Pelodiscus sinensis: one gene and its partner. The protein of the gene in region 1 purifies or fractionates together with the protein of each later gene. This does not show direct contact. Links are inferred from orthologs where the notes say so. Each region holds a gene or a part of one and is shown on either strand. Other genes may lie near its edges.

Region 1 (15,962 bases):
GGCAGAGTTGGTACTGAGGTTTATTGCAGGGATTGGTTCCAGAGTTAAAGTTACTGTGGTATTGTGTGTAGTTGCTGGTGAGAATTTGGTTCACGTTGGTAGGTTGTCTGTGGGCAAGGACTGGTCTACCTCCCAAGGCCTGTGAAAGTGAGGGATCATTGTCCAGGATGGGTTGTAGATCCAGGAGTGGCCCGAGGCTGGCTGTGGCAGCTGGTGCCCTAGGTGGAAGGCGTGATCGGTGCCCCGCCTGCACGGCTGTCAATGGCCATGACGTAATCATCGGGCACCCGGGTGCCCCGTGACATCATCATCGGGTGCCCAGGCTGGTGGCGCCCTAGGCGACTGCAGAGTCTGCTTAGGCTCACGGGCCGCTCCTGTGTAGATCGCTGATGATGCGTTGGAGAGGTTTTAACTGGGGACTGTAGGTGATGGCAAGTGGTGTTCTGTTATTTTCTTTGTTGGGCCTGTGTTGTAGCAGGAGGCTTCTGGGTATATGTCTGGCTCTGTTGATCTGTTTCTTCACTTCCTCAGGTGGGTACTGTAGTTTCAAGAATGCTTGGTGTAGATCTTGTAGGTGTTTATCTCTGTCTGAAGGGTTGGAGCAAATGCGGTTATACCTAAGAAGCTGGAGGCATGTAGGTAGGCATAGCGGCCCGTAGGTTTTTGGTATAGGGTGGTGTTTAGGTGACCATCACTTATTTGCACTGTGGTGTCCAGGCAGGGGATCTTTTGTGTAGACTGTTCCAGGCTGAGGTTGATGGTGGGGTGGAAATTGTTGAAATCACGGTGATTTCCTGCGGCACCATCACAACACCTAACCACATCAGCCACACCAATACGAGCTGATTCACCTGCACATCTACCAATGTAATATATGCAAATCATGTGCCAGCAATGCCCTTCTGCCATATACATCGGCCAAACTGGACAGTCCCTATGTAAAAGAACAAATGGACACAAATCAGATATAAGGAATGGTAATACACAAAAACCTGTAGGAGAACACTTCAATCTCCCTGGACACACAATAGCAGATTTAAAAGTAGCCATCCTGCAACAAAAAAAATTAAAAAACAGATTTCAAAGAGAAACTGCAGAGCTACAATTCATCTGCAAATGTGATACTATCAGTTTAGGATTAAACAAAGACTGTGAATAGCTAGCCAACTACAAAAGCAGTTTCTCCTCTCTTGGTATTCACACCTCCACATCAGCAGCTAGAAGCGGGCCTCATCCACTCTGACTGAACTGACCTCGTTATCTCAAACCTTACTCTCGATTGGAACTCTTTTCTTATGCTTATATATTTATACCTGCCTCTGGAATTTCCACTACATGCATCTGATGAAATGGGTCTTTGCACACGAAAGCTTATGCTCCAATAAATCTGTTAGTCTATAAGGTGCCACAGGACTTCTCGTTGTTCTTGCAGATTCAGACTAACCTGGTTTCCCCTCTGATAGTAATTATAGAATGGCCTTGGGGTGAAAGATTGACTACAAAGTACCTACTAAAATCCTGGGTAATAGTTTAAAATTATAGGAAAAGAGGTCAGGAGTAGGTTATTTAACAGAAGTAAGCATTAGATAATCTTAGCAAAGTATTGGCTTCAGTGTCATACTGGAGTCTAAAGATAATTGGAAACAACAGGCAATGATATCATTAGACATATCATTAGACATTAGGCCTTTGATAGCTGAATAATTGTGTCTAGACTGTGTCCTTAGGTACACTGTGTCAAAGTTCAGATGTCTGATTATATTTATTCACATCCTATTACAGATATACAGTTTCAGATCTCCTTTTTTACTTCACAAGTACATAAGTTAGTATTACTACTAGTTGCCACTCCTCTGAAACTTTTAGAAGTCGTTCACCATCAGATACAGAAAGCATGTCTGGTGCTAGAACGCGTAGCAGACTGCATTTTTCCCCTTTATTCTAACAATTCTGTTGTTACACAGACATACTAAAGAACAGTAAGTAATAATTCATCAATAAGCGAGTAATCCAAGGAATATTATTCCTGAAAATTTAAAAATCATGGAAGTTTGGATTGGGGAATCTATATATATAAACTAAACAATTCTTAATCAAAATTTTATTTTTACCAAGAATTAACAATTCAGATATTTTTGTATCTTGGAAATGTAAATGAATAACAAATAATGTATTTAGGGATTAAGGTAAACAAATTAATATGGCTGGGAAGTATTAGGATCTGATCATGCAAAATATTAAGGTACATTCTGACAGGTAGAAATCCAAATCTTGTGGGGTAAAGTAATTAGAACATAAGAACATAAGAATGGCCATATTGGGTCAGACCAAAGGTCCATCTAGCCCTGTATCCTGTCTGCCGACAGTGGCTAATCCCAGGTGTTCCAGAGGGACTGAATTTAACAGGTAATGATCAAGCGATCTTTCTCCTGCCATCCATATCTATCCTCTGACAAACAGAGGCTAGGGACACCATTCCTTACCAATACTGGCTAATAGCCATTTATGGACTTAACCTCCATGAATTTATCTACTTCTTTTTTAAACCCCATTATAGTCCTAGCCTTCACAACCTCCTCAGACAAGGAGTTCCACAGATTGACAATGCACTGTGTGAAGAACTTCCTTTTGTTTTAAACCTGCCACCCATTAGTTTCATTTGGTGGCCCCTAGTTGTTATATTATGGGAACAAGTAAATAACTTTTCCTTATTCACTTTCTCCACACCACTCATGATTTTATAGACCTCTATCATATCCCCCCTTAGTCTCCTCTTTTCCAAGCTGAAAAGTCCCAGTCTCTTTAATCTCTCCTCATATGGGACCTGTTCCAAACCCCTAATCATTTACGTTGCCCTTCTCTGAACCTTTTCTAATGCCAATATATTTCTTTTGAGATGAGGAGACCACATCTGTATGCAGTATTCAAGATGTGGGCATACCATGGATTTATATAAGGGCAATAAGATATTCTCTGTCTTATTCTCTATCCCTTTTTAAATTATTCCTAACAACCTGTTTTCTTTTTTAACTGCCCCTGAATACTGCGTGGACGTCTTCAGAGAACTATCCACAATGACTCCAAGATCTCTTTCCTGATTAGTTGTAGCTAAATTAGCCCCCATCATATTATATGTATAGTTGGGGTTATTTTTTCCAATGTGCATTACTTTAAATTTATCCACATTAAATTTCATTTGCTATTGGTTTCTTTTCAAAAGATGAATGCTGTCTCTCAGATGCTTCCTATGGTGGTTAGGGATGCATATTTTAGAAAGATGAAGGCATTTATTTTAATGTTTCTTTGGAAGGAAAGAAAGACAAAGTTTTTAAATTTAAATTTATGGAAGAAAGGTCCATCAATGCTTATTAGCCAAAATAGGCAGTGATGGCATCCTTAGCCTCTGTATGCCAGAAGCTGGGAATGGGTAACAGGGGATGGATCACTTGATGAATACTTGTTCTGTTTATTCCCTCTGGGGAACTTGGCATTGGCCCGTCTCAGAACATAGGATTCTGGGGTAAGCAGATCTTTGGTCTGACTGAGTATGACTGTTCTTATGTTTAAGACTTCTAAATTATGTACCATATACTAGAACACATAGCTTTAAACTTTCAAGAAATCTCAATGAAATCATTCTGGATCCCATGTATGAATCCAGCTTCATGGGTAGAGAGAAAATAGCAGCTCAAGAACAAAAAGGGAATAGTGAATCTGACTATATTCGAAGTACTGTACTGACAAATGCCTAACATAAAAGGGAAAATTTGCCTCTAATCTGTTAATTATAAATTTTAGATTGCCAGTGGAATCCACATGCTTAAAGTCACGCACATACTTAATAATCTTGCTGAACTGAGACTACAGTAGGAAAAACATTTTAGTCAGAAGTAAAATGTTTGAATTGCTTATTTAAATGTGCCTATTTAAAGTTCTAAACCAGCAAATCCTGATGTGTTCAATAAATTTGTTGAATCCAAATAACAAAATCATAATAATCCCACGTGTCAAATTCAGATCTGTGGACCTTTTTACTGATCCTTCCAGTCAGCCCTAGACTATATGTTGTGGAAAAAAATTGTCAACTGATGTAGCAAAGCTGTCTGTTGTTCCATTTCAAGCTATACTACACACTTACAATGACTTTTTCAGTGGTTAGGAAACCACATGCTGAAACCTTTTAAGTTCTTGCCTTGACACCAACCAAACTGCAGGTGGTTCCAATTTTAGACTCATGGCAAAAACCCGACATGGCAGGCATCCAGGAAAACTGGCAGACTGCAGAAGCTAAACACAATGCTCCAATTTACTATCTTTGGAACAGCTAGTTTGATGTATTAATTAATCTCTGCTGTGTCACTCATACTTTTGCTAAACCATAATTTAAGGACTAGAGTACATTAGACAAATATGTCAAGTTTAGTTTGGGGTGTCTATCTCAACCTGCTCGATTGTATTAAAAGGCATTACAATGCACCCATGCTAGCAATGTCATAGTAAGGTCAAGGTTACTTGACACACCTGGACCTTGCTTTCACACATCTTTCTATGAAGACCAACTCTAAGAAAGGTGCTACTGAACTACTTTTTTTTTATAGGTTACAGACTAACTAGGCTACCCTTCTGTGACTTCTAAGAGAAATAGTTAATTTTTTTCTTAAGAAATTGATACATTTAATAGTAAGTCTACTGGGTCATTTTATTTTTTAGTAGGTCCTAAATCCAAAATCGACACTATGCCTAAATTAACAGTATAAACAACGAGAAGACCTGTGGTACCTTACAGACTAACAGATTTATTGGAGCATAATTTTCATGGGCAAAGACCCACTTCGTCAGATGCGTGAATTCAACAAAATAAGGCATCTGACGAAGTGGGTCTTTGCTCATGAAAGCTTATGCTCCAATAAATTTGTTAGTCTATAAGGTGCCACAGGACTTCTCGTTGTTTGTGCAGATTCAGACTAACACGGCTACCCCTCTGATATAAATTAACAGTGTTTGTGTGCTATTTGTTCTGTGCTGAATAATCAGGAGTCATCAGTTGTATGTTATAACCCCTACACAGATAATAGTTGAAAAAGATTCTCCCTCATTCTAAGCGACAGATGTTTGAGCTTTTGGAGCATGAAAATCTGAATCCTAACTCTACTATCATGGTGAATTTCTGAGCAGCCTACTGTGCAGCACAGAGGCAAACAGGAAATCTTAGATTTGATGCATTACCTAAAGTGGCATTGGCTTCCCTTTTGTTTCACGTATACCCATCATACAGTTTTAAACAACTTGCCAGTAATGAGGTGGTTTAATACAATTAAATCCTCTGTTTCTTTTTTGTCCAGATTTTTAGGCTGATCTTTAATTTGATATTTTAATTGTATACTTTGGTTTAAGAGAGAGGTCATAGTGAATCCTACTGTTTTCTATTCTAAGAAATATTGTAAATGCAATAGACAAATCAATTCTGCTGGTGTGATGTTGATTTTTAAGTAGTTACCACTTATTGTTATTTGTCATTTTTAATTCTGTTTTAATAATATCTGAATTCCATGTTGATCCATTTTTATTAACATTTTCATTTCTAAGTGTAGACTAGCAATGATAATAATTAACTTAAAGGAAGTATTTTTAATTTTTGATTCCTAAATATTTCACTCTTCATGCAGCTAGTTCCAGGAAATGTTCATGGAAAAAGCAAATGAAAATTGCTGGCCTTTCATGAAATGATTCTTTTCTACATCACATAACTTAGTGGGGGGAAGGACCATGACTGGCATTTCTTGGTGCTACTGCAGCACAAATAAACAAACAAATGCACATTACTACTATTGTTGACACCAATGGAAATACCCCAGCAGAAATTTGGAACTTTAAATTGCAGAGAAGTGATACACAGGTTATATGCAAACACTTCCTATCAATAAGTGGTTGATTAATCTGATGCATAGTGTGAGCTGGTAAAAATGACTGGTAATTCATTGTGCTTTTACAGAGGATGAACATACATGTTTAATAAACTCCAGGATAATAAATAACATGCTAGCAACAGGGTTAATACCTCTTGGCCCATTTGGGCAGACTATTATTCAACAACTTCACAGGAGTATTGTGAGAAAACTTAAGATAATGTTTTTAACATTCATTGAAGATGTGAATAGCTATTTATTAATAGTGATTAACAAATATATAAATGAACTCTTTACTATTATACAAAATAATTATTATGTTAATAATGCGTTATTCTTCAGTATTAATACATGGAAAACAATGACCTGTTTAATATATAATTAAGAAAAATGCATATGATTTGATTACTGTTACATCTATTATCAATTAAGCATACTGTCATTCATTTTGTAACTGTGTGCGCTTATTAAATTACTGATGATTTTTAAATGTATCTATTAATTATAAATGTGATTATGATTATTAAGGATTTAAAACATTTTATGTCTCTATGAGAATTTTAGCTACTGATTAAGTCTGCTGGAAATCAAAAGTCTATGGTGCCTATCTAGTAAGATTCTTAAGAAAGTGCCTAATTTTAATGTCTGAGCTGTCTCAATAAGTATTTTGGGATTAATACTCAAATATAGGCATGTGCTTAAGATTCCTGCTCAAAAGGGTTTGTATATCCACTTAGGCAGCATCTACAGATTTCCTATACACTTCCTCATCCACATGTCAATGTGCCTGAGTTCTGTCCTGCAACAATTCCCCATGGAGGATAGCAAAGGAGTTCAATTTCCATTGTCCATTTATTCCTTGGTCTCTGCTCAAACTGCCAGTGAGGAAAGAAATTAGTGCCAAATACTGATGGAGTTATGGTGTTTATGGGGAGTATACAAGACCATATTTTTAACTACACCTCCTATCACGGAGTCCCCAAAATAGCTATTGATAATGACTTTTTATCTTGATTGACTAAACGTGGTTCAGATTCTGGCCATGTCACGAATCACCAAAAGGGGTTACTTGCTACAAGTGTACCTTGAAGTTGCAGACACATTGCTAACCACAAAAAACTTGTACCCTCTGGAGGCTCCAGAGTCTAATCCCAACCACATCATTAGCCATCAAAGAACCTTTACCTGTTTTGGGTGATAGGTTTGAATCCTGTGGCTACACCAGTAATGTAGGTGGGAGGAGGATAAAAGTTGCCAGTGGCAGGTTTGAATCCCAACCATGTTACAAATAACAAATTATTATTATAACATTGTATCTTGCAGATGGGGCGTTCTAGTGCCAGCCACATTGCAAACCACCCAAAAGCCATTAACTACTGCAGGTGGTGGGCTTGGTTCCAGATTTACCCATTTTGCTTACCAACTCTGCAGGTGGTGGGTTTGAAACCTAACCGTATTATTAACTATACCAAAGCCAGTATTCACTGCAGGTTATCTATTTGAAACCTAGCCATGTCACTAATAATGCCAAAGCTGATACCTATCATAGCAACTGGGTTTGAGACCTATCCATATAATGAACTATGTTGCAGATGGGTTTGGGACTTTGTCACACTGCTAATGATTCCAAAACCTATGCCCACTGAAACTGGAAACTGTGATACCTAGTCATACCGGTAACCATGCCAAAGTCAATACCTGTTGCAGATGGTGGGTTTGAGACTTAGCCATATATAATTAACCATGCCAAATCCAATAACGTATACAGATGGTAGGTTGGAGACTCAGCCATATCATTAACTATGCCAAGTCAATAACTGGTGTAGGTGGTGGGTTCAAATTCAGCCATATTATTAACCATGCTAAAGCCAATAACTAGTGCAGGGAATGGGTTTGAGACCTAGTCACGCTGCTAGCCATGCCGAGCCAATAACTGGTGCAGATGGTAGAGCTGAAACTCAGCCATATTATTAACCATGCCAAAGCCAGTAACTAGGGTTGCCAGGTGTCCGGTTTTGAATCGGAAAGTTCAGTATTTGAGCTTTCTGTCTGGGAAACAAATTGAAAAAATATAAATGAGAAAATATAAATGTCCGGTATTTTCTAAATAAGATGTAATGTAGACTGTGATGTCATCTCAAGTGTGTCCGCTATTTTTGTTTAAACCATCTGGCAACCCTACCAGTAACTGGTGCAGGTGATGGGTTTGAGACCCAGCCATGTTGCTAGGCACGCCAAAGCCAATACTCACTGCAGATGACGGGTTCAAGTCCTGACTCCAAATGCCCTTTGTCACCTGTAGGAAAAGTTAGGATACACTGGAAACTGGCTTGGACTATTGACTATTTGGCCTCCATGAAGTAGTCCAAGCCTGGCAGACCTGCTCGCCATCAGGCCCTTCAAAGGCGGCGTTGGCTACCCCTTGGGTCCCTCCCTCCCAATTCTCCCTATTCTCAGCTATTTCTGGACATGTGGGAGTGGGGTCAACCTAAGAAAAAAATCCCCTTCTGTAACCAGCCTCCCTCCCAGAGAATCCCCCCCAAAATTGTGCCTCAGACAAACTTCCCCATGACAAGGTAGGCTGCGCTTGGCTCCCAGTGATGTCACCCCAGTCAACCAATCAGAGGACAGCGTTGGAGCTGAGGAGGAAATGACGTCACCGTATCCCTCCGCCGGCCCGGTCTCCTTTTTGTGTGTGTGTGTGTGTGTCTGTTGGTTCTTTCTGTGTGTATCAACCTGCAGCTTTTTTTGGGGGGAAGGAGGGGCAAAAATACTGGGGGGGGAGCTCATGCAACCTACCCTCCCCTCCCGGCCATTTCTCCCTGTAAGAGGTTGTGTGGGGTGCGTATCACTTTAAGAGCGTGTGCGAGCGAGCCAAGCTCGTCTGAGGAGGCGGCGGCGGCGGGAGACGGAGAGAAAGGTGAGTTGGCGCGAGTCCGTTATGTGGAGGTGGGGGAGGCGGACGCTGCAGAATCAACCGGGGGGGGGGGCGATACGAAGGGGCGGGAGGAAGAGGTTCGTGGCGCGCGCGCACGACAAGAATGCGGGTGGCGGTGGCCGTTGGAACCGGTTCGAACCGCCCGGGTCTGGGAGCGGGTGGGGGTTGGGGGGGGGCAGCGCGCGCCGTACACAAAGCGGCCGCCAGACGCGCCGAGCGGGGAGGGAGGAGGGAGCGCGAGCTCCGGTGTGGGAGGGAGGGATCGGGGTTGCTGAGGGGAGGGGGGAGGAGCTGTTCCCGCTGGGCGGCGGAATATCTGCTCGCTCGCTCGCCCGCCTTCGCTGACTGGGGAGGCGGAGTGATCCGCATACCCCCTCCTCTCGCTGAGGGGGAGGAGTGAGGCGGCTTTGGCTGCTCCCTCCGCTTCACCTCCCTCCCTCGACTGGAGACGAACATAACGGGGTTAAACCCTGCACAGAGCAACCCCTGAGCTGTCGCAAAGTGCCTCCCACGCTACCCTCCTGCTGGGTGCCCGGCCCTGCGGGGAGCAGGATCGCATTTTTTCTGTCTCCTTGCTCCCACCCCTTTCCAAGGGCTGCTGCTGGGTGGGCGGCCATGTTGGGCACAGGGATTATTTTCTCTACCTTTCTTCCAAAGCAGCCACAGTAAATGGAAACTAGCCTGTTTTTACTCCTGTGGGAAAGGTGTTATCTCCATCCTCTTTCATGAAAATGAACGCGAGGGGGAGTCCACCTCATTGCCCATCTGAGAGTGAGGGGGGCTTTTGGCCTTCCTGCTGCTCCCTCCCCCCCGACCTCCACAGTGAGCCCCATTTTTTGCCTACACACCCCAATGATCCCTTTGGGCTGCCTGCTGCTCTCCTCAGAGAAAGGAGGAGTTGATTGGCATGGCTGTCACTCCCAGAGGGTACTGCCTTAATGGGGGAGGGGGGAGTTGCCCTTGGCATACTTGCTGCTCCTAGGGCCGGATTAAGGGGGGGGAGTTAGCTGGGCAGTTGCCCGGGGCACCTGATGGCAGCTGTAAGGGGTGCTGTGTGCGTGGCGCCCCTTAGAGCTGCCATCAGACGCCACATGCCCGGGGCTGTGGGCCACACCGCCCCTTAGAGCTGCAATCAGGCGCTGCACACCCGATTGCAGCTGTACGATGCGCCATGCGCCCGGGGGCAGAGTCACACATGCATTGCATGCCCGCTGCCTGGGGCGCAGAAATGGCTCAAGCTGGCCCTGGCTGCTCCCCAGAGTGGGAGGGAGTTTCCTTAGCGTGCCAGCAGCTTCTGTCTATGAGGTGAGTGTGACTTCCCTGTGCCTGACATCTCAGTGAACCTGGAGGTCCCCAGAACGTGCTTGCCATTCCTCCCAGTGCAAGGTGAAGCCATGGCTTCCCCGCTGCTTGGAGGGAGCGACTCCCCTTTTGCTTGCCTACTATTTTCCCCCTTTCAGAGTGGATGTCTGAGAAACATTGGACACCTGATATTAGGGCACTTTTTAACTTGCCCTCTGTTTACTCTGTTTTGCTGGGTTCTAGCATGAAGAATATGTGGGGATTAGGTACAGACATGAACATCCCATGTGCACCAACACCAAGCTCTCTGCTTTATGAACTTGGCAGCAGTTGCTATCACCAGTCTTCATCAAGTTAATTTTTCTCACAGGCCTGCTGCTCCTTTTGGGGGACATCCTGCAGGCATTTGAAACTAATGGCCCTTCTTCATTTCAAATCCTGCTATCCACTGTCTTTGTTTTTCCCCATATATACTTGCATGTGTGTATGTATGGATGCATTGTTGGTATATATGAGCATCACAAATGCTCAGACTCTGGGTCCATATAACTAGACCCCTGAATCCACAAAGAGCTTTGTGGGGAAGGCAGGCTCCTCCTGCACAGTCATTTGCAAGATCAGTGCCAAAAGTGATGAGTATGTTACAAGAACTTGAAGCTCATGGGCAGGCCCAGTCTCCCAGGAAGATTCTCCCATACCCCGGATCTCTTCTATGAAATCCCAATATTATAATGCTAGTCTAGGTGCACATGTATAACAGAAAGCAAGTTAAACACGTTTTTTTCATTTGCAGCTCACAATGTAAGAGCAGATAATTTAACATGCAGTAATACATTTTAATTAATAGGTATTATGCACTGAAAAATCTTTAATAAAACATGTAGCAACCCAAAGTGATAACATTTGTAGACATTTTAATATACTCGCTAAAGCAGGGGTAGAGAACCTCAGGCGCAGGGGCAGGATGCAGCCCTGGCCCGTCTGGATCCAGCCCCTGGGGTTCAGGGCTCCTCTCAGCATTGGGGAGCCCATGCTGGTGCTTCAGTTCCCTTGCAATCCCCCCACAGGGCTGGAGCACATAAACTCTACTAGCTTGGGCCCCTCTAACCTCTGGGGTGCAAGGGGAATGTGAGGAGCTTCCTCATCAGTCATGTTTTTTTTCTTTGCTTCTCACTTATGTGTGGCCCCCGAATGATTTTTCTGTGGGTTAGCGGCCCCTGACCCAAAAAAGGTTTCCCGCCCTTGCTTTAAAGTAATCCTGATAGCCAGTGAACTGAAATGAACCACCTCAGCCAATGAAAAATAAATTTGCCTTGCTCTAGACCAGAGGTGGGCAAGAGAGCCTCTGTGGGCCAGATCTGACCTGCAGATGCCCTGCCTCTCCTCCGCCCCCATGCCAATCGGCCTCCCCTGCCAGGGGTTGATGGCTCTTACAGTAAGCGCCTTGCAGGGCGAGCACAGAGAGTGAGAGATTTCGCCTCCCCCCCCCCCCCCCCGATCAATCAGGGACTGGGAGCAGGGGAGTGCTCGGAGGGAGTGCACCTCCTGCCTTGCAAGGGGTGCATGGTGCCTCGAGTGAACTGCCAGCTCACCCTAGGCACTGCACCACCCCGGGCAGGGCATGAGAGACTTCAGGCACTCCCCCAGCCCTGATTGATCTGAGGGCGGGGGGAGAGGGGAGTGTGTGAAGTCTCCTCCCACTAGTGGGTGGGTGCATAGAGGGAACCTCCAGCTGTTGAGAACAGCTGGCAGTTTTCTCTAGGGGGGAAGCGGCAGCAAAGAACACACTCCCTCACCCCCGGCCAATCAGTCTGTAGGCGGGGGCGCATGAAATTATCCTGGGCCTGCCCCTTCCGGTGTGGTTTGGGGCCACTTCAAAAATTTGAAGTGGCTCTCCTAAAATTATTGCCTACCCCTACCCTAGGCTTGTTTGATTCTTATCTTAAACAACTCTGTTCCCTGACTTACTTCATCTAAGGTGCTGTAAAATGGTTAAAATACTCATATCAACAGTTAAAGCATCATAGAAAACTTCTTACTGATCCTTTGTTTTTCAACTAATACATAGTCTGATATAATTTTATATCCAATATGCTGTCTTGGCATATTACTCCTTGAAGTCAGTGGGCATTTTGCTAGAGTAAAAATTGCAGGGTTTGTCTCAATAGCAGAGGAATGTGTCCTGTCCTAATCATGGGATTAATTTATTATATTATTTAATTGTTGTCAACTATCATAGCTCTTGCAAAGATAAAATAAAATACGTTCCCTGTTGCTGAATGCTTACAATCAAAATAGGGGGATGACCCACAGAAGACAAGAAACAGGTTGACCGTTTAGATGATGGGAGTGTATGAGGGCAAGAAAGGAGGTTGGATAGAGAGAAGAGGGGTGCTTCGAGGAAAAAGGTCAACTGACGTTTGATACATTTATACATTCCATTTATATCTAGAATTTTCCTTGATAAAGAACCCTGTGAGGCATTAGGGTTTTCATTTTGTTTTTCAGGTGAGGGGGTTCCTTCTTAAAAACAATTATTTTGTTTTCAGGTCCACCTGATCTTGTTTTTTTAGTAAATGAATGAAAATGTAATTGGCCATTACATATTAATGCAGATTTTTTTTCATACTGAGAGAAAAACAGTAGAGTTGGGGGTAGGACTGAAATGTTAGCTGGGATATATTGTAAGTGCTCTCATCTTAAGATTTTGGTAGCAAATCCAGACTGGTATAAAAAATCGTGCATCAGTTTCAGTGGCCCTGTGGGCATTTTTGTAGGCACAGAATCATCAGACCACAGGTGTGTGCTGGGCACCTGCTTCTGACATATTTCCTCTTCTGTCCCCATCACAGAATGGTCCCTGGCTGAGAGCCTTAGAGAGGTTGCAAAAATCTCCTTTTGCCTGTTCTTTGTGTCCTTGCGCTAGTTCACCTTCGTTGGCATAAAGCTGTGATGTAGGGCCAATTGCCTTCAATAGATATTTTGTCTAAAATATGCAGATCTCAGTCCCTTATTATCACAGTAAAATTATCCTGCTATATTCCTTGGGGAGAAATAAATCTGGACTTGTAAATCAGGGTTCATAGGTGAGCCATGTTTTAGTATTATTTCCATAATGGACATTCACTCTGAAATTGCAAACAGTGGACTATGAGCATGATATCCCCATTGGAATCATTGCAGAGTTTTGTCTAAAAGATAAATTAAAAATACTATAGCCCAATATTTGCATAGATATCTGCCGTCATCATATGCCCTGTAAATTCACAGGAAGTCAAGTGCTTCTGACCGTGTTCATTGTATTTGGGTATGTCTACATTGCATTCCTCTTTCGAGAGAGGAATGCAAATGCAGACGAACAAAATTGCAAATGAAGCGCGGATTTGAATTTCCCACGCTCCATCTGCATAATCGTGTCTGGCTGCTTTTTCGAAATACGCTATTTCGAAAAAAGAAACGCTGTCTAAACGTGGTTATTTCAAAAGAATACCCTCCCTTTGAAATTACCCTTTCTTTCGAAATAACCACGTCTAGACAGCATTTCTTTTTTCGAAATAGGGTATTTTGAAAAAGTGGCTGGACGCGATTATGCAGATGAAGCGTGAGAAATTCAAATCCGTGCTTCATTTGCAATTTTGTTCATCTGCATTTGCATTCCTCTCTCGAAAGAGGAATGCAATGTAGACATACCCACAGTAAATAAAGTTGTTTTTTTTAATTAAAATCCAAATTTGTGAGCATGTGTGGTGGTGAATGTTGTTTAAAATGGCATAATTTGCATTCTTAATTAATAATTTAATGGCGCTGAAAGGTCACAGACTGGAAATCTGTTTCCATTATGGTTTGATTCTATTTTTAATAATGAGGGCTTTATGTTTTGTGAGGCAGTATTAACTAGTGGTTGGAGTGGGCAGGGTCAGAAGTTCAAGCTCCTTGATTCTCCTTACTGCTTTTATATAATTGCTATATTTGATCCTGGGCAAGTCAATTCACATCTCCTTGCCTCAGTTTTCCCCATCTGTAAAATGATTATAAAAATATTTCCCTACCTCATTTGGATGTTGTGAGGATTATTCCAGAAATTACAATAATTAATTAATTGGCATTATTTATGTACAAAATTATGATTTAATTTTAAAATAAAGTTGTTTTTTAACCATGTATATAGTAGGATGGAAATTCACTTGTGGTCTGATATTCTGCCCCAAGACTGCCTGTGTCAGAGATGATGTCATTATTTAGCAGAAAGTGGGCCATCAACTGTGGCCTAACTAGTGCTCATTTATGTAGATTTTTTTTAAATGATAAAGTTTTGTTAAAGCTTATGCACCAATAGCATGTCCTGTCATGCAGCTTTCAAGAACACTGTAGATGGAATCTTGAATTTGCAGTCAGTCCTTTAAAAAGTTTGAGGGAGATGGGAAAGAGGTATAACTTATTTTGTGTTCAGTAATATAGACTTGAGAGGGAAACAGTAAATACTGTAAATTAGATATTTCAGAGAACTACAGCTGTCTTATTCTACAGCTGTCATGTAGACTCCAGTACACACAGGTGCTTCTTCTGATAATGGAACACATTTAGGACCTGATTCTCTTAATTTACTTAGATCTGTATAAATCCCTACTAACTTCTTTGAAGTTAATAGAGTTATGCTAAGGTAAAACTTCTTAATTTATGGCCTTTTTTGGAGATAGGATTTGAATTAACTGAATTTTGTTTGGTGAGATACTTTTTGAAGGTTTAAAAATATCTCTTAATTTTTAAACCAAAATGAAAAACTTCTTCTTTCTAGATGTTTTGTCAAGCTTTCTGGAGAAAAATGGCAGTTCATAATTGTTACATTTTATATCTATCTAATTGTGCAGGATGGCAGTTCATTAATTAATAAATATAGTTGGCGCCTGGATCAGATGCAAAATTTAGGTAGAAATTAGAAGAGACAAGCAAGCTGCTTTTTGCTGCAACATGAGAAGAGTTAAAAAAAGACTTTTTTCAAATTTAGGGTGATCTATTTGGATGCAGATTCAATTTTTATTGCTGGCTCTGCATCAGTGAAGATAGTTGTTTTAGCAGAATGTATAATCAAATGATAACCTTTTTAATTCAAGAGCATAATGACCATTGGCTTAATTATTTTTTTCCTTGTGGTAAAGATGAATATGAGCCATGTTTGTCCACATAAACCAAAGGGGCCATATTTTGTATTAGTGCCAATTCATTATGTATAATTAATAAACACTGGCTTTCAGCACCATAAAGGTCTCTTCCCACGTTTCAACTGACAGCAGAGAGAGATGTATCTAAAATGTTTTATTTCTTGTAGTATATTTAGCAAAATTTTTTTGGCATCCATATTTGCAAGCAAGCAATCTGCCAGCTATGAGCTGAAAAGCTAAAAGTAGAGTATTTATCACTGGGATTAATCATTTTATTGAGCAAGGGCTTTTTACTTACAAAAAATATTCAAGATCAAAGCTATGAAAAACAAAGCTGCTACATTGTAGAAGAAAGAAGACATTTTCTTAGTTGAGTTGATATGAACAGATGAAATATCATGCACTTAATGCAAGTTAGTGTCAAAGGAAGCTTGTAGCTACAATCTCTTTAGTATTTTGTCTTGGTGTCTTTTGAATAATTATGAGGTGTTGAATTATGTATTCTTAATAATGTGTGGAAAGATTTCCTCAGTGTAATTTTAAACTGCATAGCTTTTACCTTACTGGATAGTAATGCCATGCATACTTTAGTTTACAGATCTGTCTGTCTTAAATATTTATAAAGTGCCCATCAATGTAATGTCTAGGCACTGTTGC
Region 2 (16,200 bases), on another chromosome or scaffold:
GATCCGGCCCATGGAGGCCTGCCACTCTCCCGCCCTGCCAGAAGCATGTTACACTTGTAAGCACCATGTGCTGCTTGCAGGGCAGGAGCAGAGCGGAGTAGACTTGGCGTGCTCCCCCACCCCCACGCCAAGCCTCCTCCGCTCTGCCCCTGCCTTGCGAGCAGTTTGCAGCGCTTAAAAGCGCCACGTGCTCCTGGCAGGGTAGGAGAGGCTTTTAGGCGGGCTCCCTTCTACCCGGTTGCGCTGCCCTGGGAGAGGGTGTGTCTGGCGGGGGGAGGAGGGGCGGGAAGAGGGTCCTGGCCAGACAGATTGCCAGCATGGGGAAAGGGGCGCAGCCGCCAGTGGGCTTTGCGCACAGGGAGGGCTGGCGCACAGAGTTCTCCGCAGCAACAGGCGCAAATTCCCACATCTGTCTATGGAATGATTTCTCTGCCCAGGTTGTCCCTATTCATAAGAACCGACGTGCATCTGGTGCTGCTGTCCCCCCACCCCTGCACAGGGGCTCCCCCAGAGAGCGAGTCACCCTGGGGTGTGAGGTGTTTGTGGGGCACCTTTATGTCTGGTGTGGGGGTGATGATACAAAGCTGGGCAAGGAGCAAGACCGACAATGTCCACTCTGTATACGCGCAGCCTCTTCCCTTCTGGACGTTCCCTCTTTCTGGGATCCTAGGTCTGCACAAACCAAATGCAAAAAACCTTAGATCCTCTACTGAAAAGTCTTCTCCTCCTCGGACCATGCGGAGCGCTGGCTTGATCGAGCCCCCATTGCTTGATACACTCTGAGGACTGGGAAACCACTATACCTTCCTGTTTTCCAAAGGGATAGTCCCATGTTCCTTGCAGGCTCCTTGGTGGTGCTTCTTGTGTGTGGGGTGGGGGTTAACTCTTTCTTGGTTGAGCAGGGAGTGCATGTGGGACTGCCATGGCACATCTCAGTCCTGTTTGGACATGTCCCTCCTTAGCGAGTAGGCTAATGTTCACAGAGCTAAATGTTCTTAGCAAACTGCTGCCAGGACACATATTTGGTTCTGTGGCAGCATGAAGAACTAACAAGGTTACAGGGGAGATGCACCAGAAAAGCCATTAATCAGAGAATCTCTTAGCCTAGGAGAGAGGCTAATGGGATATAAGTGTGTGTGGGGGGGGGGGGGGGGGGGAGATAGTAAGTGGCTTATGGCACAGAACAAAGACAGATGAAGATTTAATAAGACGCAAGAGTCCCAATGGAATTAGGAAGACCGGTGATGACAAGGAAGAGATCACTGTAGGTCCACTGGTCACCTCCCTGATAGGATTCATTTTGTCAAGTCCCTATAAGCCAGTCCAGTGCGTTCACTCCCTCCCTAAGGTCACTCCCTCACCCCCAGACCAATCATTGTCTGGGGGTGGGGAACTCAGAAGTATCTTGGCCCAGGGACACTTGAAAAATTTCCAAAGTGGCATCCAGCAAAAAATTATTACCTACCCCTGATCTAGAGCAAATAGCTGTGCACAGACATGGATTAAGGTCTTCATAGTCCCTAGGCATCCTCATAATCTTAGGCTTTTAAATTAGATTATATATAAATATACAAGAGAGAAATGTCCTATTGCCTATATGCCTAACATCACCTACTTTAATTTCCACTCTTGAAAGTGATGCACTGTGTGCGCAATTCATGGTACTTCATTCTAAAATAACAGCCATTTTGATGTATACTACCATTATACTTATGATGCACCTGATAGTTAATCAGTTGATATGGGGAAGTGAAGCAATGTTGCCACTGTAAAATCAACAGAGCAATGCATCCCATTGATCCATCAACTTCAGACCTAGAAAACAAAGCTTCAGGACATGTTGAAACAGATATTATTGAGAATAGTGTTAACCTTCAAGGTCTAGTGAGGAACAAGCAAGGGTCAGTCACTCTGCTTCAGAAGTGGCAGTGACAATATCAGCAGATGTGATAAGAGAACAGATGCCAAAGAAAACAGCAGATTTTGTCACAACATTAAATATAGTTCTGATTCAGCTGAATGGGAAATAACTCCATATTTTATAAAATATTTTTGCAGAAAATATACCTTCCCAGAATTTGGATTCCACTTTTTCATTGATGGATAGACAGGTAAAAATAAAAGATATGCACACACAGAATTTTTTCAGGCAACTGGCAAATGGAGAAACTGTCCAAAGAGAATGGCTTCTTTTTTCTCCCTCAGTGGGTAAAGGGCATTGCTATGTATGCAAACTGTTCTGTGTCAATAACTACTCTAATCAATTTTGATGATTGGAAAAATGCAGTCACTAGAATTACTTCTCATGAGCAGTTGAAGGATCATCTTGGCAAACTGTCAACAATGCTCCAGCATCAGAAGTCTGCCTGAATTGATGCAGAACTGGAGAAGGTGAAGGAAAGATCATGTAGATACTGAATTGAAGTCCTAAAGGGAATAGTTGGTGTAATAAGAGTCCTTGCTGAATGAGGACTAGCCTTTTGTGGGGACACTGAAGTGCACATCTGCCCTAACACTGAAAACGACTTTGGTTGCACTGAACTTCTAGCTGAATTTGAACCATTTCTTTCAGAACACATGCAACAACATAGAAATGCAGGAAGAGAGAATGTGTCTTATCTTTCATCAGCTATATGTGATGAATGTATTGATACATTGAGATCCAAAGCCATGGTACAGAATAATATCTGAAATAAAGAAGACCAAGTATTATGGAATCAATATCAATTAATCTGATATTAGTCACACTCATGGTGGCGGGTAATGTAGGCAAAGGATGGCATTGCCTTCCCAAAACTGCATAAATTCCCACGGCAATCCAACTCCCCAGCCACCCAGGAAGACATGGGCTGCAGTGCAGCAGCCTGGCTCCCTCACCACTGGGGAAGGCTGGGGCTGCAGCTAGGGCCACAGTGCAGCAGCCCCAGCCCTCCAAAGGGCCAGGAAGGATCGGACTGGGGTTTGGTGAGGCTTGGCGGCACAGGTGGGGAAAGGTTGCGGAAGGGGAGAGGCTGTGGCTTGCCTTCCCTAGCTGGACCCTCATACAGCACCCATGGTCACACTGATCAGCTTAAAGGGGTTTTTTTGTTATGTATTCAGTGATGGAAATGTGTTTAAGTGATCTTTTGCAGGATATTCTCCAATCTTATGGCATTGATATTGTAAGCTGCATGTCACAATCATATGATAATGCCAGCAATATGAGTGGCATTTATTCAGGGGTTCAAGCTAGGTTTCATGAAGTTTAACAGTTTGGCTGACTAGGTTCCATGCACTGCACATAGTCTGAATGTGTTTGGATCAGCTGCAATGAAATGTTGCTCTGCAGCAGTCAGGTTTTTGGGGATTTTGTAGTCACGCTTCTCAGTTCTTCTCAGCTTCACCCCAAAGATGGTCTAAATTAGTAAAGAACAGGAAGTAAAATCCCTATGTTGTACAAAGCATATCAGAAACAAAATGGTCAGCACAGAGTGATGCCTCCAGAGCACTTTATGTGAACTATTCTGTATCCGTCAGACTTTGATAGACATAGCTGAAAGTGATCAACAACCACCAGCAGCTGTCCATGAGGCAGTCACTGACTAAGAAGCTGGATCAGTTTGAGACAGCTTTGATGTATGTCATATGGAACAACATACTACAAAAATTTATTCTCATGAATTAAGCTCTACAGGAAGCTGACATTGAGTCGTGCACTGTCATTAATTCACACTTTCTTCATGCTAATGATAAATTCAATGTTTGAGGCAACTGCAAAAGATCTCACACCATCCAACTATAAGAGACCACACAATGCAAACAGCTGAGAAAGCAATTTTTTATAAAGTGTGTATGGATAATACTGTCTTGGATTTGAGTGCCAGTGCCAAATTTCACATACATTATTCTATCCTATCATGTAAACTTACCCTTGAGATGGTCAGAGGATGAATAACATATGCCTAATTGAATGAAGGGTTCTGTTTTCTTGTTGATAGATCAATGTTCAGTGTTGAAGTTGCCTCTAGAACAAGGGCATTGATAAATATCTATCCAGCAGATTTTGAACATGCATTTACAGATGAATTTCTATTGTTCTCGTGTGTATGTATGCAGAGAAGAAATCTGTGGCAGAATTGATCAGCGCACAAATAGCAGACAAATTGATGATGTACGATAAAAATTTCTGAGGCACGCTATGATATTGTTAAGAACTCCTATTCTAAATTTGGAGTCTGGGACTGGCACACAAACACAGTACATTTGTACATTTTACATCTGTAAAAGCATTTGCACAAGAGGGCTTTTGCTCGAATGGGAGCAGCATAGCATTTCCGCAAGAAGCACTGATTTCAGACAGTAGGAAGTCAGTGTTCTTGCGGAAATTCAAGCGGCCAGTGTAGACAGCTGGCAAGTTTTTCCGCAAAAGCATTTGCTTTTGCGGAAAAACTTGCCAGTCTAGACGCAGCCTGTAACTTTATATTATTGCTCTTATTTTGCCTCACAATTAGCACCTATCCGGGTTTCAGGATCTTACCCCCACCAATCACTTTGGTCTGCCCATTAAGCATCCTATATAATTAATTGTAATCTATGGTCTGGCAGTGTTCAGTGAGCCCTAACAAGTGATGTGACACTCTGCCATCACTGTGTGTGTAATAAACTCTCCTGATTGCTTCACATAGGGTGTCCAGATTCTGTTCCTTCAGTGACAGGTTTTCCAAATGTCACCTTTGCTTTCAGGATATATCTTGCCATCTTGGGAACAAACTGTGAAGGGAGTGCTTTTTTTCAAAGTTAAAAAAATATAAAGATTGGTCTTCGGTCTATTATGGGACAGAAATTACCATTTTCACTTGCACTACTTCCAAACAAGAAAGAACTTTTGAAAAAAAATACATTTGGTAATGTAATCAGTGATTTTGCTAACAAAGAATCCCAAAGTAAATATTGTATGTTATACCTGTATGCTGTTTTTGACTAAAAAAAGTGAATTATTAAGTTTGATTTAGCCATTTTCTTACTAAAGTCAATTATGAATTTTTTAGGCTCTAAACTTTTTCTTGGGCCATAGGTACTGTCTATTTTGCCTAATAGATAAACTGGCCAAGGCTGTGCTCATCACTCTGCTCACTGCACCACTTTGATGGGGTGCAGTCACAGAAGACCCCTTGAGATTGTTCCCTGATGTTCTGATTATGCCACTGATACCTGCTTTCTTGTTCTCTGGGGCTCTCCACTACCCTGTCCCATTGGGCCAGATCCTCTGTTCTCCCCTAGATAAGGCAGAGTGTTGTGATTACTACCCCCCTGAAGTACAGTGCAGACACTGAACCATTTCAGCTCTGGGAGAATGCAGTTCTAGGTCACACCATCCAGGAAACCAACCCCCAAAAGAGATCAAAACCCCAGATAAATCCATCTTTGTTTAAAAGTTTTACACAAGGAAAGCTCATGAGGATGTTCACGCTCTTCATCAATGAAAGAGAGATATGCACACTAGTCATTCCCCTAGGCAGCAATTATTTACACTGGGCCTGATACCAAATTAAAGTGTTTTTATTAAGGACAAACAGTAGGATTTACGTGGTTGCAAGTGAAAACGGACACGTCAAAGTAAGTTACTAAGTTAAAAATAAAGTGCATAGCTAGTGCTAATTCACTAAAAAACGTATTGCGAGCACATTCTTACCCTTATAAGCTGTTCATATTTAGGCATAATCTTCAGGTCAGAGACATTTTACCCTGACCTGGTTCCCAGCCCCTTGTATCTTTCAGGAGTTTCCAGACTAGCCAAAGACAAAGGGCTCATTGATTAAATAGTCTTTCCCTCAGAACAGGAAACTTTTGTTCAACACTCCCCGTTCCCCACTTTCCATGGAAAACTACCAAAGTAAGGCTACGTTTAGACTACGAGGTTTTTTCAGGATATCCCGAAAAACCCCACCGCATCCAGGGAATGCGTTTGCACTTTTTTTTTTGCGGAAGTGCAAATGCACTCTTTCGGAAGCCCCAGTATTCCTCCTTCCACCAGGAAGAAGGGGGCTTCTGAAAGAGGGTTTTTTCCCAACATTTGGCCTAGTCTAGACAGGCTAAAAGTCGGAAAAGTCTCTTCCGACAAAAGAATCAGAAAAAGCTACACAAAATGCGGAGTGCATTTTGTGCAGCTTTTTCCGACAAAACTTTGTTGTCTAGACCTAGCCCCAAAGTGGAATCCCAGTACCAGATGGTATGGTCACGTGTCTTACTAGTCCAATCAATTTTGGACTTACAAGACAAACAAGGCCATTTACAAGTCGTTAAGTTGATCACCAAGTCATTAAGGCTTGAGGGAGAGGTAATGGCTCTCATTAGCACATTTGAAACTATAAGCAGTCTCATGCTATGTATTTCTAACTTTACATACAGGAACGATACATGCACTGAAATAGAATTTGTTGATTATGTGAGGCATTTCTTCAAAGCATCTCTGAGTTATGCATATTAATATAAACCAATTTTCATTAAGCATGGGGGGACCTCTTTATTGCCTAGTAGTACTGCTGATACAAAAGTCCAATACAAGCGCATTGGAAGCATGTACACCTGCAGTATTTGTACACAATCACTTGAAAGAGAAACAAGATACTCTACTATGTAGCTAGTTGTATTAATGTGTAGTATTATTGTGTATTAAGACTCACCAATTTTGCAAACCCCTCTAAAGTAAAAGATAAGACTTTCTGAACACAGAGTTTTCCTTTTAATAGACACAAATAGGCTATGTCTAGACTGGCATGATTTTCCAGAAATGCTTTTAATGGAAAAGTTTTCCGTTAAAAGCATTTTCGGAACAGAGCATCTAGATTGGCACGGACGCTTTTCCGCAAAAGCACTTTTTGCGGAAAAGCATCCGTGCCAATCTAGACGCGCTTTTTCGCAAAAAAGCCCCGATCGCCATTTTCGCGATCGGGGCTTTTTTGCGGAAAACAAATCTGGGCTGTCTACACTGGCCCTTTTGTGCAAAAGTTTTGCGCAAAAGGACTTTTGCCCGAACGGGAGCAGCATAGTATTTCTGCAAGAACACTGACAATCTTACATGAGATCGTCAGTGCTTTTGCGGAAATTCAAGCAGCCAGTGTAGACAGCTGGCAGGTTTTTCCGGAAAAGTCGCTGATTTTCCGGAAAAACTGGCCAGTCTAGACACAGCCATAAAGAATAATTTTTTAAACTTCTATTCATACATCATGATAAAAGTAGACTTCAAGTCTAGGCTGCTGCTTTTGATTGACCAACCACTAGAGGGAGACTACAGCAAACCAGCGTTACAACACTTCAGGAATGGAGATTGTAATTCTGAAATGTTCTTAACTCTAAATAAAACATTATGGTTTCTTCGCACTGAACATTAACAATACAGTTTTGAAACTTAATTAGGCAGAAGAAAATTACTGCTTTACTTATATTTAGTAGTTTACAATTAACACAGCACTGAACTACATCTGCTTTTTTATTTGTTGGTTACTGCTGCTGCCTAATTGTATACCTGTATTCCAAGAGAGTTGTATTGTTGACTCCTCAGTTTGTAACGCTGGTATTTGTAAACTCTGAGATTCTACTAATCAGTTTTGATCAGTTCTGACTTTCCACGTAATGGGTGGCACATACTTGCATGCTAATTAGTGTATTATGTGTTATCCACATCATGTTAATAAAAGAAGCAGGACTAGGTTTCACTGTCCTCAAAATATCACAGTTATACCTGCAAAGGAGTCACAGCTTTTTTGTGCTGAACATAGTAGCCTTTTCAGGTAGTCCCCAAAATGATTAATGGGGTTTAATGGACACAATTAAATACTGACAACCTAGGAAAAGAAGGGGGAAGAGACTCCCTTTGGGTAAGTTTAGACTGCAGAGTTTTTCTGGAATACTGGAGGTATCCAAGGAAAATCTTAAAAAAAAAAAATCAGAAAAGCAGATGTGTTTTTTCCACATCCCTGTAAACCCCCTGTTGCTCATCCACACTGCCTTCTTGTGCAAGAGGGCTTATTCCTCTGGGGAGAAGAATAACTCTTGCCCAAGAAGCCCTCTGTTCCAACGTATTCCTGTAAATTTACTTGAGCAAGAACGCATGTGCAGTGTAGATGCACCATAAGTTTTTGCGCAAGAATGGCCATTCTTGCACAAGAAGCCTGCAGTGTAGACATAGTCTTGAAGCCTGAACATAGCAGCGTCTACTACCTCTAGAACTAGTGCTAGGCACCACCACCCACCACAAAAATGCCTTCCATTTCCCAGTCCCCTCCCACAGTCTCTCAAACCAACCCACAAACACCTATTTAACATCACAAACACACAGGTGAGCCATTGATGCTACTATGGATTTGTCGATGTTCAGTTAAGACCTGAAGAGACATCGGCCTGAGGAGGAAACAGCTCTGACAGCATCACACCTTCTCAGTGGCATTTTCAATCCCTATGTCACAAACAAAAGCCAAACCCACAGCGTCCAGTTGCATCTTGTGTAAGGTCTCCAGCTCTGTGTTGGGCATTTGCTGAGCAAGCCTGGCATTACACAACTTAACTCAGTTGGGAAACGGCAAATTCCCAGTATAGCCATCAGTGCCTCAGGCAGCACAAAGAAACCCCAGAAAGTGCAGGATGTGTGTGGGGACGAGGGAAGTGCTGAGTGGGGAGGGGGGCTCTGGCACAGCCTGAAGGTGTGCAACAGATACTCCCCTCCACCACACACCCATAGCAGCCCCCTCCCGGAGTCCCTGCAAGGGGAGTGTTTGGGCAAAGGCTCAGGAGACATCCACATGCAGCCCAGGTGATTAGCAGAGCGCCCTCAGCTGGGTTTTCCCAATGGTGGTGCAAAGTTTATCCCGCCCATGGACAGAACACAGGCTACGTCTACACTGGCATGATTTTCCAGAAATGCTTTTAACTGAAAAGATTTCCATTAAAAGAATTTTCGGAACAGAGCATCTAGATTGGCAGGATGTTTTTCTGCACTTCCGTGGCCAATCTAGACGCGCTTTTCCACAAAAAGCCCCAATCGCCATTTTTGCGATCGGGGCTTTTTTGCGGAAAACAAATCTCTGCTGTCTACACTGGCCCTTTCGCGCAAAAGTTTTTCGGAAAAAGACTTTTGCCCGAATAGGAGCAGCATAGTATTTCCACAAAAGCACTGACAATCTTACATGAGATGGTCAGTGCTTTTCCGGACATTCAAGCGGCCAGTGTAGACAGCTGGCAAGTTTTTCCGCAAATGATTTTTTGGAAAAACTTGCCAGTCTAGACACAGCCAAGGAGCTCAGGAGGCACCAGCTGGTTCCCAACAGGCGCTGGATCCGGCGCGCCCAGCAGGCTCCAACCCCTGCAAGGGATCCCGCACCCCGCGCTCTCCTCCAGGCGCTCAGCCCCGGACCTTTCTAACGGCTCCAACCGCCCCCGCCCTCTTGGCGCCATGCACGCGCGCGCGCGCAACGGCAAGGAAGCAGAGGCACGTTGTCGGGGGGGGGGGGGGGGGGGGGGAGCGCCCGCGGTCTCGCGCGGCGGGGGGCGGGGCAGAAGCAACGGCGGCGTTTCCGGTTGGGCAGCGGGAAGGGCCGGAGACCCAATAAAGCCTCCATTGTGTGGGCGCGCGCCTCCCTTCCCCTTCCCCCCCCCCCCCCGGGAGCGCTCACTCCGGCCTGCGAAAGCCGCCGCCACCGCCGCCATTGGAGGGGCCGCGTCCGCCCAGGGGTCTGCCCGCGCGCAGAACCCCCGCCCGAACGGAGCGAGAGTCACGTGCTGCCCCTCGCGGTGAGTGCGGGGGGGGGGGGGGGGGAGCCGCGTTCTCTAGGCAGGAGGGGGCGCGAAGGCTTCGTAAACACCCCCCCCCCCCCGCGCGCGCGGCTCGGGCCTTTCCCGCTGGAGGCTCCTCCCCCCCCGCGGCGGTAACGCGTTCGGGGCCGGTCATCGCCGACCAGGCTCGCGCTCAGACCCCTCCCCCCACTTCGGGGCTGCGGTGCCCCCTCTCCCGCGCGCCCCCAGTGCTGCGGCTGGCGGGCCCCGAGTCGGAAGTGCGAGGCGGCTGCCGCCCCGTGGGGGTGTGAACTGCCCCCCCCCCCCAGCCAGCGCGGTCTGGATCCAGCCTTTCCCTGTGTAAATCCTTCCCTCCCCCCCCAGCCCGCTTCAGGCTCGTGCTGAGGTTACAGGCGACAGACACGCTGCATCGCACTACTGCGGGGAAACACAAAGCGGGCATTGAAGCAGCCTTTCAACCCCCAGACCTGAGCCCGCAGCCGATTCTCATTGCCCTAGTCGCGAGGAAAACCAACACAAACAGTTGCAGAACGAGCCTGTGTTACCGAATTGCAACGCTGCAGGACAATGTCAATAATCTCAAGTAAGTAAGTTTCTCTGTAGCAGGCAGTTTTTAAGGGACAGGCCCTATCACTTACCAAAATCAAGGGTATGAGTTGTTTTATCCCGTGTGTTCTGTAGGGACAGAGGCACTTCATTTATAAAATTGCCACTCTCAGGAAATTGTTTTTAAGTGTATAAAGAAGCCCAGAGCAAGTCTGTTGTGTGGAGTTTTGGAAGTGGATCCTGCTGTGGTTTGTGTGTGATCTATGCACACTTTTTGGTACATCTGTGAAGGTGGGCAGCAATGGAATATAAATAGTTGGTGCTAGAGATGTATATATCCATTTAAAAAGTTTACTGGATTAACAATATAATTGTAATACTTTAACCTGTTAATTGTGCGGCTGGGGTCCAACCAGCTCTTCATGGGTGTGGGGGGGACTTCTCTGGACAGAAGGGATCCCCCCTGCTCTGGCTGGACAGGTTCTGTCACACTGTGCAACAAGCTGGGGGCTATTCTGGCCTGCTGAAGTCCTGGTGCCTGGGTTGGCTGCAGGGAGCGTCTCCCTTCACCCAGCCCTTCGGTTAATTAATTGGTTATTGGTTAATTAGATAATCATGCTGATAAAGCTAATGCTTACTAGTTAACCTTTTGCATCCCTAGTTGCTGAAGGTTCCTTAGTAGCGGTGATGTTAGGAGAGTTTAGGGAAGGAATTAGAACATTAAGTAAGGAAAGAAATTAAGATGCGATAAAGTGAGAGGGAGTAGTTCAGGAAAATTTGTTCGGCTATTATGTATGGATTTTGCCAATTTAATTTTTCTTTAAAGCTAAATTGAATCTGATTTGCTTGCAAAATAATAAACCTTATATTACCAAGAAAATGTTATGCTATTAATCCTATTTCAAATATTTCTGAAAACTACTTGTCTGCTATGGGATGAATTTAAGTTAAAAATTCTCTTTCAAATAAATCTGTTTAAAATGAAAAGTGGAATTATGTCAATCTATGCTGAGGCCTAAATTTACTAGAATCTGTTAAATGTATATAATTAAAAAAAATCGAATAGCAAAGTAAAAAAGATCATGTAGTAAAGAAGAAATGCACCTTTTTCTATAATAACAAAGTTAATATACATTAAGCTAATTTCTTAAATGCATATAGATATAGCATATTCTAGAAAATAACTTAAAAGTACATGTTTCTACAAACCAGACGAAAACTGCTTATTTAACACAAGATTTCTTGTCACTTTATTCTTAAGAAAGCACTAAAGTTACAGATCTTTGCAAATTAACAGATATCTTGAGATGCACAACTCTGTAGTCAACTGTCAGCCTTTCTGTGTGTGAAATTTTAGGCTAGGCCAAGTCCCTTCTGTGTTCTCTCTCCAGCTGGTGTTTCTTGCATGTGGAAATGGATGGTCCCTCTGCTCACAGTAGCGACCTCTTTGTTTTCATCATGTATCCAGGCTGAGGAGCTGTAGATGTGCAAACTCTGCTGATGCTTTTGTGTAGAAAATCCATGGAGTTGGTCAGCTGATAAGAACAGTCAGAGTCCTAGCTTGTTAGACCTTTAGTCTAGTTCTTCAATGAGGTGACTAGCACCTCCCCTGGGAAGGATATTATTTCAGAATAATTAAAATAGACTTTTCTTAGGCTATGTTTACTTTGCATTTTGATCTATTTCTTGTCAGGGGTATGAAAAAGCACACTGCTGATCCATGTTCCCTCTAATTTTGTGTGTCCATTTGTGAAATGAATTTTGCTATGTGCACCAATATGGCGAAGATATGCAACGTATCAAATAACAAACAAAATTCATTTGTAAATGGATGATCTGTAGCAGGTTTGGTGCTGAGGGGTTCGGAGTGTAGAAGGAGGCTTAGAGTTGGGGGGGATGAGGGTTCTGACTGCTGGTGCAGGCCCTGTGGTGGGGCTGTGGATGAGGTATTTGGGATGTAGGAGGGGGTTCCAGGCTGAGGCATGGGGTTTGGAGCACTAAAGCAGTCTTAGGGCAGAAGGTTGGGGTGGAGGTGCTTGATTAGGCAGAAGTTTGGTTGCAGGAGGGGGAATCAGGATTGGGGTGTAGGATCTAGGAGAGAGTAGTGGACCAGGCTCAGCTGGGGCTCAGGATAGGGGTGTGTGGTCTGGGAGGATGTTATGGTGTGGAAGGGGGCTCAAGGCAAGGGTGCAGGGTCTGGGAGGTGACAGTGTGGGAAGGGCTCAGGTCTGGGATTGGGGTGTGGGTGGTTTACCTGGGGCAGTTCCATATAAATCTTGTAGCAGTACAGCTGTGCAGCTCTAAAATCTGTAGTGTAAACAGTCTTCGTCAATGTTACACCTGTAAAGCACATAGCACAATGTGATGTTTACAATGCACAATGTGATGTTTACAATACAAAATGTAACTCCCACTCTGTTACAGACTTACCTTATTTTTATGCTTCATTTGTGAGACAATACAACACCAAAGAATAGTCTCAAACCACAGAAATTCACATCAATAATTCAACTTCCCAAGAAGGGTTAGTAATATACCATATATCCAGAAATTCTGAAAACGATTGCAGATGAAGAGAAAAAGAAGTCTGAGAACAAAAATTATAGAACAGATCCATATGAAAAGATGGTGAAGAAATTTCAGATGGTTTAATATAGAGGGGGATATAATAAGATGTGTATATATAATAAGTGGTATAGAAAACATACACATCTTCATTCTTTCTTGCAATACATGGATAAAGTGTTCATAAAGTTAAAAAGCAACACATTTAGTACACCTCAAAGAAAATAGTTTTCACATAATGTACATATCACCTGTGGAACTTATTAGCACAAACTGTTCAAACCAGTAGCTTAGCAGGATTCATAAAAGGGTTGAATATTTAATATGGATAGTAAGACCATCCAGAATTATAATAAGGATTAAAATAAAACACAAAATCCCAATTTTTTTAACTCACATTTCCCATTCAGTTTCTGAGGTTTCAGAATATAAATACATCAAAGCCATGTCTTCCACAAAGAAAAAGGCTCAATTTTTTAGGTACAATTGTATGATGATTTTTCTGTACATTTGTGAAGGATTTTTTTCTCAGTCTGAGAACACTGACTGTTATTTCCAGGCTGGGTATCCTATAGGCACTACCTCAATACAAATAAATAATTTACTACCATACAGATATTTTTCTCCTAGCTTAAAGGATACCTAAAAACAGGTGAAAATGGTAACTACAGTTAAATTCGGTCTTCTGTTTACAACAATAATTTATCCGGAGATCTTATTACATTATTACTTTTCACTATTAGAGACATTCAGTTGAAATCTAGTCCTTTTTTAAAATTAGTTAAGTTTTACATGCATTATCTGTATTAATCTCTTTGTGATTTTGTTTTGTTTTTACAGTCACAATTTTTTATTTTATAAATGTTATTCCCTTTCCCTGGTGTAAAAGATCCCCCATCAGTTGCAGAAATCATATATACAGAGGACTGTCAAATGCAAACCTAAATAGGAAATATTTTTTTCTCTCCTTTTTCAGTGTTGGTAATTCTAAGTATAACAGTAGCAGGTAGACTTCAGACAACAGAATGGTTTTGTATCTGACTGTCATTTTGTATGTGTCAAATGCTTTCTCATGAAAAATAGTTACTGTATGGAAAGTAGGGTTTAGTAAAAGGTGAAAGATTTATATGAGTTGAAGAGAAACCAGAGAATCAGGACTGTATGATCCTGTTTCCACCTTTGTGAAATGCATAAAGTGCTCTCTAATTTTCAGATGAAATGTAGTATAAGTATTAGCCTCAGGTCAAGCAAAGAAGTGTTGTCAGTTGAATGTGATGGCACGAGCTAGATATTTGTTACATAGGTCCTTTGAATGTGGTTTATTTGTAAAGTTCCTCTGCTGATAGATAATAGCAATCAAGGTCGTGTGGTAAACAATTTAAATTACTTACACAATCTCTCTGTGCAGTGACTTGCAGACCTAGGGGATATCTGCGTTTGTATTTCTTCATGCAGGAGGTTATAACCATACCAAAGTTATTAACTCCTTGAGCAAAATAATTTATTACATTCATATATAAATTTGCTATGTAGGAGAAGTAAGTGGATTTTGTGTAGAAAAAAATTCAACTGGTGATTAGTTTTTGTAACTGACTTGATAGTTTGTAAATGTCTGGATTGGCTTGATTTAACTGGCTTTAATTTTTATTCTAGAAAAAGAGAAGTATATATCAAACTAATTAAAAATGAATAAACATTTTAAAAGTAAATTTATTATTATATGAGCTAAATATGCAATCCTTTATCTCTATTGCAGGAATACTGAAGTTTGCTGTTTGAGATTTGTAGTGCTGTGCAAGCTGCAACTTACCATAGAAAAATGGAAATGTTCCAGATACTGCGTAAAACATCAGAGCGTTTAGAATGTGATCACTGTAGTTTCAGAGGAACAGATTATGAAAATATACAAATTCATATGGGTACCATTCACCCAGAGTATTGTGATGAAATGGATGCTGCTGGTTTAGGTAAACTTATATTTTATCAGAAAAGTGCAAAACTTTTCCACTGTCACAAATGTTTCTTTACCAGCAAGATGTATTGCAATGTTTATTATCACATCACATCACAACATGCAGTACCTGAAAAGTGGAATGAAGACCAGAAAGATCAGTTAGAAGCTGAGACTGAATCCTTGAAAACAGCGCTCATTCAGGAACCACAAAAACATGCTCTTTCACCTGAATCACACAAGCCTGCCCTTTCCCCAGAACTCCCCAAACCTGACCCAGTTATTTCCCCCAAACTTCAGAAACCATCAGTGTCCCCTGAGCTGGAGAAGCCAGCCTCAGTGGGATCTCCTGAACCTGAGAAGCTGGCCCCAGCAGTGTCCCCTGAGCCCCAGAAGCCTGCCTTGGCAGTATCTCCTGATTCCATTAGGCATTCCTCAGCGGTGTCTCCTGAGCCCCAGAAGCCTGCCCCAGCGGTGTCTCCTGAGCCCCAGAAGCCTGCCCCAGCGGTGTCTCCTGAGCCCCAGAAGCCTGCCCCAGCGGTGTCTCCTGAGCCCCAGAAGCCTGCCCCAGCGGTGTCCCCAGAGCCCCGCAGGCGTTCACCAGCAGTTTCCCCTGAGCCCCGAAAGCGTTCACCAGCAGTGTTCCCAGAGCCTCAGAAGCCCGCCCCAGCGGTTTCCCCTGAGCCCCGCAGGCGTTCACCAGCAGTTTCCCCTGAGCCTCGCAGGCGTTCCCCAGCAGTGTCTCCAGAACCACGCAGGCATATGACTCAGACACGGAGGCCTGCTCCTGCTTTGTCTCCTGAGCCTCGCAGGCCTGCTTCTACAATTTCCCCAGAAGCATGGAGGCCTGCTCCCTCAGTTTCTCCTGAATCCTGGAGACCTGCCACTGCTATTTCTCATGAGCTACAGAAATCTGCTGCTGCTGCCGCCTCTCCCTGGCCACAAAAACCTGCCCCAGTGGTGACCCCTGAGCCACGAAGGCCAGCCCCGGTGGTGTCCCCTGAGCCACGGAGGCCTGCTCCTGACCCGTGGAAACCTACATCCTTTTCTGATTCCCAGAAATCTGTTTCATCTGAGCCATGGAAACCCATCTCCTCTGTATACCCCGAAGGCTGGAAACCTGTTCTTTCTCCTGATACTTGGATGCCTGCTCCCCCTGTTTCACCCGAACTCCGAAAACCTAGTCACATTGTTTCCTCTGAAGTTTGGAAATCATCTTTGTTTTCTGATCTTCGCAAACCTGCTCCCTCATTGTCTCCTGAGCCCTGGAAACTTTCATCTGAGTCCCGGAAGTCAACCTTCTTCTCTGAGACTCAAAAGTCTGCTCCCTCCATTTCCCCTGAGGGACAAAAACGGTCCCTCTTCCCTGA

The links.
Region 2: the proteins of POGZ (region 1) and CHAMP1 purify together in Homo sapiens (affinity purification with mass spectrometry; 4 studies listed by BioGRID and IntAct, with this or other methods). This does not show direct contact. The link is inferred for Pelodiscus sinensis from reciprocal best matches to the Homo sapiens genes POGZ and CHAMP1.

What each region holds. Positions count from the first base shown.
Region 1 is NC_134734.1:15,201,917-15,217,878, reverse strand, and holds the start of POGZ (pogo transposable element with ZNF domain), read left to right. Parts: upstream 1-8,563; 5' UTR 8,564-8,826; intron 8,827-15,962. UniProt on the Homo sapiens protein: Plays a role in mitotic cell cycle progression and is involved in kinetochore assembly and mitotic sister chromatid cohesion.
Region 2 is NC_134711.1:236,212,448-236,228,647, reverse strand, and holds the start of CHAMP1 (chromosome alignment-maintaining phosphoprotein 1), read left to right. Parts: upstream 1-9,531; 5' UTR 9,532-9,765; intron 9,766-10,131; exon of another isoform or gene 10,132-10,233; 5' UTR 10,234-10,351; intron 10,352-14,635; 5' UTR 14,636-14,698; coding exon 14,699-16,200. UniProt on the Homo sapiens protein: Required for proper alignment of chromosomes at metaphase and their accurate segregation during mitosis. Involved in the maintenance of spindle microtubules attachment to the kinetochore during sister chromatid biorientation.